3 linked regions of the Tamandua tetradactyla genome follow. The protein of the gene in region 3 interacts with the protein of the main gene of each other region in a pairwise test. Links are inferred from orthologs where the notes say so. Each region holds a gene or a part of one and is shown on either strand. Other genes may lie near its edges. The genes, in order: ZBTB9, HMG20A and DTNB.

Region 1 (3,749 bases), on a different chromosome or scaffold from region 3:
AAGTTGTAAATATGTGAAATTTTATCCCTGTGCCCTTTCCTCTGCTTTCCCCACCTCAGGCCCCTACCCCTGGACCTCTTTCTTCCTCTCCTCTTTGGCTGTTGTAATTATCTGGGGTTTGTACTGTACATATCCGGGGTGTGTGTGTGTGTGTGGGCTGGGGGCAACTCCTCTGTACAGAGCTTCCTGGCCCTCCCTTTTGTCCCCACCCAACCCACCAAGGGTAGGGAGCTGCTCTTCCTACCTGTTTTATTTTGTTTTCTCGTTCTCCCTCCCAATCCAACTCCCAAACTTCTCTAACTCCCACCACTGTCCCTTTTTCTCAACTCCCAGCCTCATTTCCTTTTTTTCTGGAGTGTGTGGTGAAACAGAAAAATCATGTTTAATAAACGGAGATCGTTCTTTTATCGCTGTGGTGCCTTTCATAGGCTGGGACCTCCAGACCGACCAGTGCGATCTTCATTTTTAAAGTAGGCTGACAGCCTGGGAGAATGGCCATCTACCCCTCCGTGATGCTACAGCCCTCAAAAAATATCACTCCCAAACCAGCGAGGAGATTTATTCCATGCTGTTATCGAGAGCAGGGGTTTTGCAGGGACAAGCCAAATCTCCTCAGTCTAGCTCTCCCCGCACCCACTGCTCCACTTAGGAAAGAAGCGAAGAGGCCGGGATAGAGCGGCATTATCTAAAGGATTCCAAGTCTATATCTACATATATCTAATTTCAAAAGGTAATTCTTGCAAATAAGGTTTAATTGTCGGTTATAATACTCCTATGCCATACGAGGAAAGTCTGGTTCGTTAGCAAATATGGGTTCCCATCCCAGGCCCACCATTTATCAGGCGAGAGACTTAGCTTCGGTTTTCCTCTCCTGGAAGCTGAGGACCGCAATGCCTACTTTGCGGGGCTGTTGGGTGGATGCGAGGTGATGAGGGAAGGTGCTGGCCCACAGCAGGCGCTCAATTAGCCTCGCCCCCATGGGCACCTACCGGCGGGGGAGAGGCGGGCGCTACACTTACTAGCCGGGAAACGCAGCTTTCCGGGACGACTTACAGTTCGCCCCTTCGTTCCTGGCTTCCCGACCTCCCGGAGTGGCGGAGAGGTCAGCAGCATCCCGCTGTCCCCCAAAACGCCCGGGCTCCAGGCTCCAAGCTCCAAGCAACGCCTTTCTCACCTGGGCAGCCAATCAACCACAAGCTTGTAGACTACCGGCCTCCGATTGGCTGCGGCTCCGGCTGCGGCTCTAGTCCCGCCCGGCGTCGGCGTCCAGCGGGAAGGCGGTGGCTTCCGGCCCGGGAAGGCGCTGGAGCTGGGGAGGTGCTGGGGTGTCTACCCTGAGTGTTCAACGGCGGGGGCGTGTCGGCGGGGAAGGCAGTCTGGTGGTGCCCTGCGGTCTCTCGGTGACGGTGGCCTCCCGGCAGCCCTTCTCTGGAGCATCGTGAGGGGGAACGGAGAAGCGGGGTAGGAGTGGTCCGGAACAGGTGAGGTCAGGGACTTCCTCCTCCTCAGTTTCCGCGGGCTCTGGAAGTTAAAACCCCGGTTTTTGCTTGGTGATGGTGTTTTGTTTTTGTTTTATTGGTGGGGAAGGGCGCAGAACTGATCTGCGGAAACCACCGCTGATGGAAAAGTTTCCAAATTTGGGGGGGGGGGCGGTTGTTTGAGAAGACGTGGTTCCCCTTATCCAGGGCTTCTGTAACTTCCATCTCGTTTCTCCACAGCCTGTATCCGCCCTGGGGTCTATCCCCAGTCCCCATCTCCTCTTCCTGATCCTCTAGGATCTCTCTTTTCGAGGAGGCCATGGATACATCGACGCCTTGGCCTCCTGTGCCTACCTCCCCGATCTTCAACCCAGCCCCACGGACAATCCAGATCGAGTTCCCTCAGCATAGCTCGTCGCTGCTGGAATCCCTGAATCGACACCGACTGGAAGGGAAGTTCTGTGATGTGTCCCTCATGGTACAGGGTCGAGAACTTAGGGCCCACAAAGCAGTGTTGGCTGCTGCTTCTCCTTACTTCCATGACAAGCTGCTTCTGGGGGATGCACCACGCCTCACCTTGCCTAGTGTCATTGAAGCAGATGCCTTTGAGGGGCTGCTCCAGCTCATTTACTCAGGGCGCCTCCATCTGCCACTCCATGCCCTCCCTGCCCACCTCCTTGTGGCCAGTGGACTCCAGATGTGGCAAGTAGTAGATCAGTGCTCAGAGATTCTTAGAGAACTAGAAACCTCAGGTAATGGAATTTCAGGCCATGGAGTGACCCCCTACCACACCCTTCTTTCCACCACATCCTCTCCAGGAGGCTGGTGCATTCGTTCTCCTCCTTTCCAGACCATGGTGCAGTCCACTGCTTCTACAGATAGCCCTGTGGGAGGGGAGGGAAGTGAACTGGGAGAGGTGTTACAGATTCAAGTGAAGGAAGAGGAGGAGGAAGAAGAGGAAGAAGAAGATGAGGACCAGGGATCAGCAGCACTCTCTCAGACTCAACCTCAGAGAGTATCAGGGGGGTTTCCCCACTCTCATGGATCCCACCCACTGCCCATAGCTGTTACTCCACACAGGCTTCCAGAGGGTGAGAGTGCACCGACTGAGCCTCCTGCCCCTCCTACTGTGCTGCCCCCCAAAATCTTCTACATTAAGCAGGAACCTTTTGAGCCTAAGGAGGAGGTATCAGGAGGTGGAACTCAGTCTGGAGGAGCAAAAGAGGAGACCAAAGTGTTCCCTGAAGGGGACAGGGAGCTAGGGTTCTTACTGCCCTCAGGAGCAGGGACAGCATCTGGGGGAGGGAGCCCATCCTGGAAACCAGTGGATCTTCATGGGAATGAAATCCTGTCAAGAGGTGGAGGACCTGGGGGAGCAGGACAGGCTGTACATGGGCCTGTGAAGCTAGGGGGAGCACCCCCTGCAGATGGAAAATGCTTTGGTTGCTTGTGTGGGAAACGGTTTGCAGTGAAGCCAAAGCGTGACCGGCACATCATGCTGACCTTCAGCCTTAGGCCCTTTGGCTGTGGCATCTGCAACAAGCGCTTTAAACTGAAGCACCATCTGACAGAGCACATGAAGACCCATGCTGGAGCGCTGTATGCCTGTCCCCACTGTGGTCGTCGGTTCCGAGTCCATGCCTATTTCCTTCGCCATCGGGACCTATGCAAGGGCCAGGGCTGGGCCACTGCCCACTGGACTTACAAGTGACTGCTGAGGCCATACATTGACTTCCAGGACAAGAGAGCCACTGCTGCTGATGGATACTCATCTCTCATTACCCTGGCACCCCAGTCCTGGATATTGCAATCATGCTAAAAGGATGAATAGATTATGGTTCTGCAGGTGCTCTCTTGTTCTTGGGTATGGGCCTCAACCTGGCAGATTTGATAATTCAGATTTTTCATCTCCAGGTTTTTGCTAACCACTTCACAGGAAAGTGATTTACATGCGATATTTAAATAGATCACTTGCCCATAATGGACCTTCCTTTCCTAGTGGTGATATCCATTCAGGAAACCAAATTTCATATCAGAAGACTATTTAGTGAGAGAAGTGTTAGAGCAAAGAAGACATAATGATAAATGTATCATTCTGTGTCCGTGAGGAGGTAAAGGAGCTGGTCTCCATCTAGGGATACATTTGATTCAGTTTGAGTTATTCAGGGGCCAAATTCTAAACTTTCCTCTCCCTCATCACTGCTGTAATGATGTGAGCAGAGTTCTTTTTCTGTATTTTTGTTGTTGTTGTTGTATCTTTGTAGAAACCTC
Region 2 (3,749 bases), on a different chromosome or scaffold from region 3:
AACATTTCTCTTCCCACTCTGGAATTGAGTTGAACATAAACGTCAATCCCTAAATATAGGGGAAGGGGAAGGACCATTATATCTACACATCAAAAAGCTTTAAAGAAAATAATTTAACTTCTTTCCCCCATAAGATAGTCACATTAGAGTCTCCTAAATAAAGAAATGATAAAATATTTTCCCCTCTTCCTTGAGAGGCTTGTTTTTTCACATAGCTTGTGACTTGGTCATAGCCAAAACTCATTAGCAATGGTATGAATTTTGCTTCCATTGTTAACTGTTAAACTCTGGGCTGAGGCTATTACTCCCATTTTTAAAGCTAAGAAATACCTACCATTATAGTTTACAAAACGAGTCACCAAAGAGAAGTGCCCAGAGACTTCAGAAAATAATTAGTGTAGTCAGTGAATTGAGATATCTAGAAATGCTCTGAGATTACAGGAGAAGCCATCATGAAGTGAGTATCCAAGATTGCTCACGGAAAGTTTTACCCCTGTGGATAATTCACGTTTTTCATTTCCACACTGCAGAGAGCAATATGAGTTCTCCTACTACACACATTACTGTATCACTTTAATTATCAGAAAAAAAAAAAAACTGTGGCTGAACATTCCATCTGTAAGTAGGCCCCAGAACAAAATCCTCAAGTCAATCTCAATTCAGGTGAAAAGCTGTTCACATACATCACCGGATGACCTAATAACAGTCTTTTATGTAAGTCTCCAAGTACTTAATTCAAGGTATAATCTCACCATATTTAATAGAGGCAGGGGAAAAAAACTTATTAGGTTTTCTATAGCAAGGCCAATTAAGATGAAACCATAGTTTTCCTCTAACTCATCACTACCCCCTCAACGCCAGCCTTCCAATAACTTCATTCCACAGCTCCCAAATTCCCAAACTTGGATTTAAAAAAAAAAAAAAGCAGATTGCAAGAAAGTAACATTTAAAGGGGGGAGGGGTACTTTTTCCTGTTGCTGTCAGCAGTCTTTAACACAGTCACAGGATGAAAAACGAAATCAAGCTCTCAGACAGATGATGCATGCGAAGGGGGGATTTTGGGCAGCAAGACCTCCTCGAAGGAAGCAAAAAAAAGTTGCAAGGACGATGAGTCAAAGGGCAAAAGAGAAAGAAATTGGCTAACCGAACCACTCAAAACCCCCAAACACCAAGCGAACCCGCAATCAGGGGGCTCACCAGCAGCAGAGGGAAGAGAGCAGGGTTTCTTCTCGACGCTACTGGCGTGGTTGCGCCGGATCCTCCCCGGCTTGGGAGCGGGAGGACGGTGTAGACTTAGCAGGAGGGAGAGGAGCCCTTCCAGCCCCGGCCTCCCGCGTCCAGCTTCTCCGGGCTTCACTTTCCACAGCAGCCACCCAGCCGCGCCCGGGGGCGTCCCTCACCGTCAGGTCCCAACTTTCCCTCCTCTGGGGGGCGCCGCGCGATCTGGGCGGCCGCCGAAGACGGGGGAGGAGGCGGCGGGGGGCGCGAGGGGGTGCGCGGCGCCGGCGGGGCGCGAGGCCAGCCGGAGCCGGAGAGACCGAGCGGGGCAGGACGCACTGGCCGCCTAAGCCCCCGCGGCGGCGCCAACCAGACCCCGCGCCGCCCGGCCCGGATTCCCGCGGGTCAGAGCCCTCACCCCGAAGCGACCCCAGCCCCATGACCCGAAGCGTGAGAAAGGAGCGGAGAGGACGCGGACAGCCCTCCCGTTACCTGAAGGGCGCACAACGCCGCCGCGGGGACCACCATCGCAGGCGTCCCGTTTCCTTCCTGGTGACTGCAGCCGCCACCGCTGCCGAACAACTGGCACTGACTAACAACAACTAGCAAACTACTCGCCGCCGCTGAGTCCACCGCGCGCTCCCGGCCGCTCGCCACCCGCCCAACCCACCAGCCTGCCCGCCTCCTCCCAGACCCGCGCGCCACCTTTCTGCGCGCGCACCCGTGCGCCGCTCTCCTCTAGCTCTTCCCGGGAGCGAGCACGCGCGCGCGCACGGGCCCTCAGCCTCTCTCGCCTCTGTGTAATGGGAGGAGTCAACGCAAGTCCCCTCCTCTCCGCGTTCCCATCCAAGGAGGATAAGACCTAAAAGCGATTGATTGGCGGGGGGGCGTGGCCATAGTCAGAGGGCGGGGCGACAGGGCCGACAGCCCGCAAGAAGGAATATTTGGGTTCAATTAAATACCAGAGGGTAAAGGGGAACGACGTATGGACCATTTGACTATGTCAGCCTGCTGTTGACTTCAGAATATGTGTTTTCAAGGACTGCTGTGCATAGTAGTAACCAATTTAACATCGCTACTTCCTGCGGGTTTTAGAGAGAAAATAAAAGAACTACATCTCCCAGAAACCTTCGCGAATTGCCGCACCTTGCGTAGTCACGTACTACTTTGCCGCGTTTGAGCAAAATAATCCCTTAATTTTTCTGCAGGAATCGGAAATATTTCACTTTTCTCCTCACCGGAACAATTTTAAATGTTACTGCGATAAGAGAAGCTACCTATGGGGAGGTGGTTAAGAGATTAGGTAAGGAGAAAGAAAGGACATAAAAATAAAGTGCTGCGGAGGAATTTTTGTCAAGCTGTGAGACAACGACGTGCGAAGAGTGAAGGCGATTGAGAGGGGCTGAGGGAATTCTCCTCTGTACAAGGGACTTTCTTTAGGTCCCAGGCCCCTGCTTGTCTCTTTCGTCAGCAGGTCAGTAAGCAAGGCGAGTTTGGGGGGTGACCACAGTCGAAGTGTCCTTTAGCCCATGAAAATCATCCATCTTTTGCCGTTGTTGTTACTGGTTAGCTACGGATTGAGGCTGATTGAATGGGGGAGCCTCACTTCCGTTGGGGGAGGGGTGATAGGCTGTCCTGGGGTGGGGGAGGACGTAATTCACTTCCTGTGGGGGGTAGGCCAATGGTTTTGGGGTGTCCAACCCACTTCCAGTGCGGACGAGGGTTTGAGAAGGTGGTTGGTGCTGTTTATATAGATGGAATCTTCTAGCTTTGGGACTGTTTGTTTTTTTTTTTTTTTGTAAATTAGGTTATTCCATCAAGTTGTGCTAATCCCCTGCCTCCAACCAGAATTTATGTGAGTTTTATTACCAAATGCAAGATGGAAAATTTCCTCCACAACAGAAATTTCCTAATGCTTTTTTACTTAAAAGAATTCAAAATCGCTTTTTAAAATTCTCCATCTCTGCAAGACGAGATACTTTCTTGTGTGACTCATGGATTGCCTACCCCGCTCCACTAAAGTCCAGCCTTGGTAGTGTTCTCTGCCTTGATATGCGCTCTGTAGCTTCTCTTTTTAAGGAGGTCATTTATGAGAGGACAGAATATTTTACTTAAGTTATGAGGCATCTTCACGTTATCAGAGTGAAAGTGTCTTGCTGTAGTTCTCAGATATTTGGTGTCACCTTAACTAACATAAAAAATTTGGTATATTTAAATTCTTATACCTGTTGACTCCAGACTACAGGTTTTGCCCTGTGCTGGAGAACAACTCCCTCAGGCTTAAAAATTCTTAAATGTGAAAGTTGTATTTTAGTACATTGTCCCCCCTTGTAATATAATTAAATTGAGCACCGATTTTTTTTTTTAAAGTGGTATCTGTTCTTTGCAACTTTAAGGTTTATGGTGCCTGAGATTCAACCCACATTTTAATTAGGGGGGAAAATGGATTCAAAAAAGAATAAAAGATGACTAAAAAAGAACTTTCCTTTTTTCCTGTATTCTCTATTTTTTATAAGAAACTGTGTAGAGAG
Region 3 (3,749 bases):
GTATGTGGGCTAGGCTATTATAAACATTTGGGGAAGCAGAAACTTTAAGTGAAGTTGTATTAGCATCTCACCTTCTCTGTTCTGTATTTCATCAACTCCCAAATTCTCAGAAAACTTCTTTCAAACATATTTCATTCATTCTTCCCTCTCACCTCCAAAATTGTGTGTCAGCCTCTCTTACCTATTTGTCCTTTTCCTTCAGCATCTATAAATGCTCCTACTTTTCATGTCTTAGAGAAAAAGAAAGAAGCCTATCTGTACTCCAGATCCTGCCCCCACCTCGCCATATTTCCCTTCACAGTCAAATGTCTTGAAAGCAGTCTGCTCTTCCTTCTGTTTTCAGCAGCTTCTCATTCCTTAGCTGTGGTTATGCAGCCTCTGTCCCCACCACAGGGCTGCCCTGCTCTCAACTAATGGCCTAAATCCCAAAAGCCACTTTTGAGGCCCCATACTACTAGAGCACTCAGTGGCATTTCACCACACAGTGCTCCACTGTTTCTGAAACTCCCTTGGCCATCAGTACACAACTCCTCTCTTAAGCCCTCTCATGGCTCTCAGTCTCCACAGCACTGTCCTCACCCCTCAGCTCACCCCATACTTTATCACTGAGCCATTGCATTCACCCTCTGTCCTCACCCACCACAGGTATCAGCAACTCCCACACACATTATCTCCATGTCAGCCACTCACCTGGGTTCCCTATACAACAGTCTACCAGACTTCTCTACCTGAGAGGTCCTAGAGATACCTCAAGCTCTATATTTATAAAACTGTTTAGCACCACTGTCCACCCATTTGCCCAATTCAGAAGCCAGGGAGCCATCCTTGAGCTTGTCCTCACCCTCCCTACCATACCCAATCAGTCACTACATCTCGTTGATTCACCCTCGTGAATAACTCTAGAACCTTCAGCCCCTCTCACTTAGACTAATGCAACAGCATTCTAACCATTCTTTCTCCTTGTTCTAGTTTGCTAGCTGCTGTAATGCAACACACAAGAGACAGATTGGCTTTTGATAAAAGGGGATTTATTTCATTAGTTCTTCTGAGAAAAGGCAGCTAACTTTCAACTGAGGTTCTTTCTTATGTGGGAAGGTACAGGATGGTCTCTGCTGGCCTTCTCTCCAGGCCTCTGGGTTCCAACAATTTTCCCTGGGGTGATTCCTTTCTGTATCTCTAAAGGCCTGGGTTGAGTTGCGAGTGCTGAGATGAGGTATACTGAGGTGCTTGGGCTGTGCTATGTTGTGCTCTCTCATTTAAGCACCAGCCAATTAAATCAAACATCATTCATTGCAGCAGGCACGCCTCCTAGCCGACTACAGATGTAATCAGCAACAGATGAGGTTCACGTACCATTGGCTCATGTCCACAGCAACAGATCTATGTACCTTCACTTAGCCAAGTTGACAACTGAACCTGACTACCACACTCCTGTAGTCTTGCTCCTTCCGATCTCTCTTCCATACTGCAGGTCAGAGAAAATTTTCAAAATTTACAGTCCATGTAGATAGTTTGATTGAACGCCATAAGTACTTGGAATCTCAGGTAGGACATGAGATTTTGTTGGTTTGTCCAGAGTGATGCCCCGATGAATCCCAGAGTGATTCGATCAGTGAGTGTAAAAGTATTTGCAAAGCCCCCTTTGGGGAATGGTGAGAACAGGGAGAAATTCAACTTCCCCAAGTTGAATTCTTGATATTCTCACAAGCAGTGTGGACAACCAAAGCTATAGGCTAAGCCCCCAGTCTTGGGGTTTGTTCATATGAAACTTAACCCCACAAAGGATAGGTCAAGTCTACTTAAAATTTAGGCCTAAAAGTCACCCCCAAGAGAGCCTCTTTTGTTGCTCAGATGTGGCCTCTCTCTCCAGCCAACACGATGAGCAGTCTCACCACCCTCCCCCTGTCTACGTGGGACATGACTCCCAGGGGTGTGGACCTTCCAGGCAACGTGGGACAGAAATCCTAGAATGTGCTGAGACTTAGCATCAAGGGATTGAGAAAACCTTCTCGACCAAAAGGGGGAAGAGGGAAATGAGACAAAGTGTCGATGGCTGAGAGATTCCAAACAGAGTTGAGAGGTTATCCTGGAGGTTATTCTTATGCATCAAGTAGATATCATCTTGTTATTCAAGATGTAATGGAGAGGCTGGAGGGAACTGCCTGAAAATGTAGAGCTGTGTTCCAGTAGCCATGTTTCTTGAGGATGATTGAATAATGATGTAGCTGTCACAATGTGACTGTGTGATTGTGAAAACCTTGTGTCTGATGCTCCTTTTATCTACCTTGTCAACAACAGAGTAGAACATATGGAATAAAAATTAATAATGGGGGAACAAATGCTAAAATAAATTTAGTTTGAAATGCTAGTGATCAATGAAAGTGAGGGGTAAGGGGTATGGTAGGTATAATATTTTTTTTTTCCTTTCCTGTGTTCTTTTTATTTCTTTTTCTATTGTCTTTTTATTTCTTTTTCTGAATTAATGCAAATTTTCTAAGAAATGATAAATATGCAACTAAATGATGATATTGTGAATTACTGATTATATATGTTGATTTTTTGGTTTCTTAATTTTTTAATTAATAAATAATTTTTTAAAAATTTACAGTCCATAGTACATTATTTACAGTAATATAGTACATAGTCCTATATTGCCTCCACATTACATTCAGGATGAAATTACAAGTCCTCAGCACAGCATAGGAATTTTCCACTAATCTAGCCCTTGCCTACTTCTCCACACCCATCTCTGTTTGCTCCCTGTACACACATGCCATCCATTTCTGGAATGTTCCTACTTTCTCTTACCTCCATGCTTTCGTATTTGTTTGTCTCTCTGGTTGGAATGTCATTTCAACAGAAGCAAAGAATACCCAAGGTATGAGTAACCGAGGTTCCTGAAAAAGAAAAACAAAACAATGGAACAGCACTAATATTTAAAACTATAACCCAAGTAACTTTCTGAAAATAAAAGAAAACATAAACCTACATAATGAAAGAGTCCACAACGTACCTCGTAAAACTGCCACAAAGTGGTTAGCTCAGAAAGCTATCCTATTAGACAGAAGGATTAATAATAATCCTCAGGGTTTCCAGGCAAATGATTCAAATTGCTTTAAGCAATTTGAAAACTAGGGTAGAAAACTAGGCTGCAGCAAGATTAAAGATGGCTGCAAATTCTTTGCTGCTCCTTCAACCCAGGCTTGCTTTAGTGAAGTGCTTAAGCAATAGAATGTGGCATAAATGATGTTCTGAGACTGCCAAGGCAGGGTTATTAGAAGCCTTGAAGCATTTACCTGCTCTTTGGGAATACCTGCTCTTGGAGCCACAAGCCACTGTTAAGAAAATCTAACTGCCTGGGGAGTGGCCCTGGGACTGCATGGGAAGGGAGAAGGCCTTGCTGCGCCCAGCATTTGGGACACCCCCTCAGTGCACAAGGCACGTGAGGATGTCACTGTGAACCCTTAGACGGGCCCAGCTGTTAGCTGAATACTGCTGATGGAACAACCATCCAGCCAACCTCTTCCCAAATTCCTGACCCCCAAATTTTGAAATTAAAATAATATTGGTTCTTTTTTGAAGCTATTACTTTTTCAGATGAGTAGCTTGTTAAGGAGACTGGTAGTCAAACTCAATGGCATCAGACTTCTCGAGAGCAACACACAAAGCAAGGAGACAGTGGTACACCACTTTCAGTATTTTCTAGAAACTTAAGGAAAGAAGAGGCAAGCCAAGGATTTTAGAGAATC

The links.
Region 1: the proteins of DTNB (region 3) and ZBTB9 interact in binary tests that used the Homo sapiens proteins (3 or more experiments, as listed by UniProt). The two-hybrid records come from large-scale screens. The link is inferred for Tamandua tetradactyla from reciprocal best matches to the Homo sapiens genes DTNB and ZBTB9.
Region 2: the proteins of DTNB (region 3) and HMG20A interact in binary tests that used the Homo sapiens proteins (3 or more experiments, as listed by UniProt). The two-hybrid records come from large-scale screens. The link is inferred for Tamandua tetradactyla from reciprocal best matches to the Homo sapiens genes DTNB and HMG20A.

What each region holds. Positions count from the first base shown.
Region 1 is NC_135331.1:89,436,054-89,439,802, forward strand, and holds the start of ZBTB9 (zinc finger and BTB domain-containing protein 9), read left to right. Parts: upstream 1-1,297; 5' UTR 1,298-1,481; intron 1,482-1,718; 5' UTR 1,719-1,797; coding exon 1,798-3,189; 3' UTR 3,190-3,749. UniProt on the Homo sapiens protein: May be involved in transcriptional regulation.
Region 2 is NC_135338.1:65,794,975-65,798,723, forward strand, and holds the start of HMG20A (high mobility group protein 20A), read left to right. Parts: upstream 1-1,534; 5' UTR 1,535-2,521; exon of another isoform or gene 2,522-2,692; intron 2,693-3,749. UniProt on the Homo sapiens protein: Plays a role in neuronal differentiation as chromatin-associated protein. Acts as inhibitor of HMG20B. Overcomes the repressive effects of the neuronal silencer REST and induces the activation of neuronal-specific genes.
Region 3 is NC_135329.1:9,285,116-9,288,864, forward strand, and holds the start of DTNB (dystrobrevin beta), read right to left. Parts: upstream 2,898-3,749; 5' UTR 2,853-2,897; coding exon 2,809-2,852; intron 1-2,808.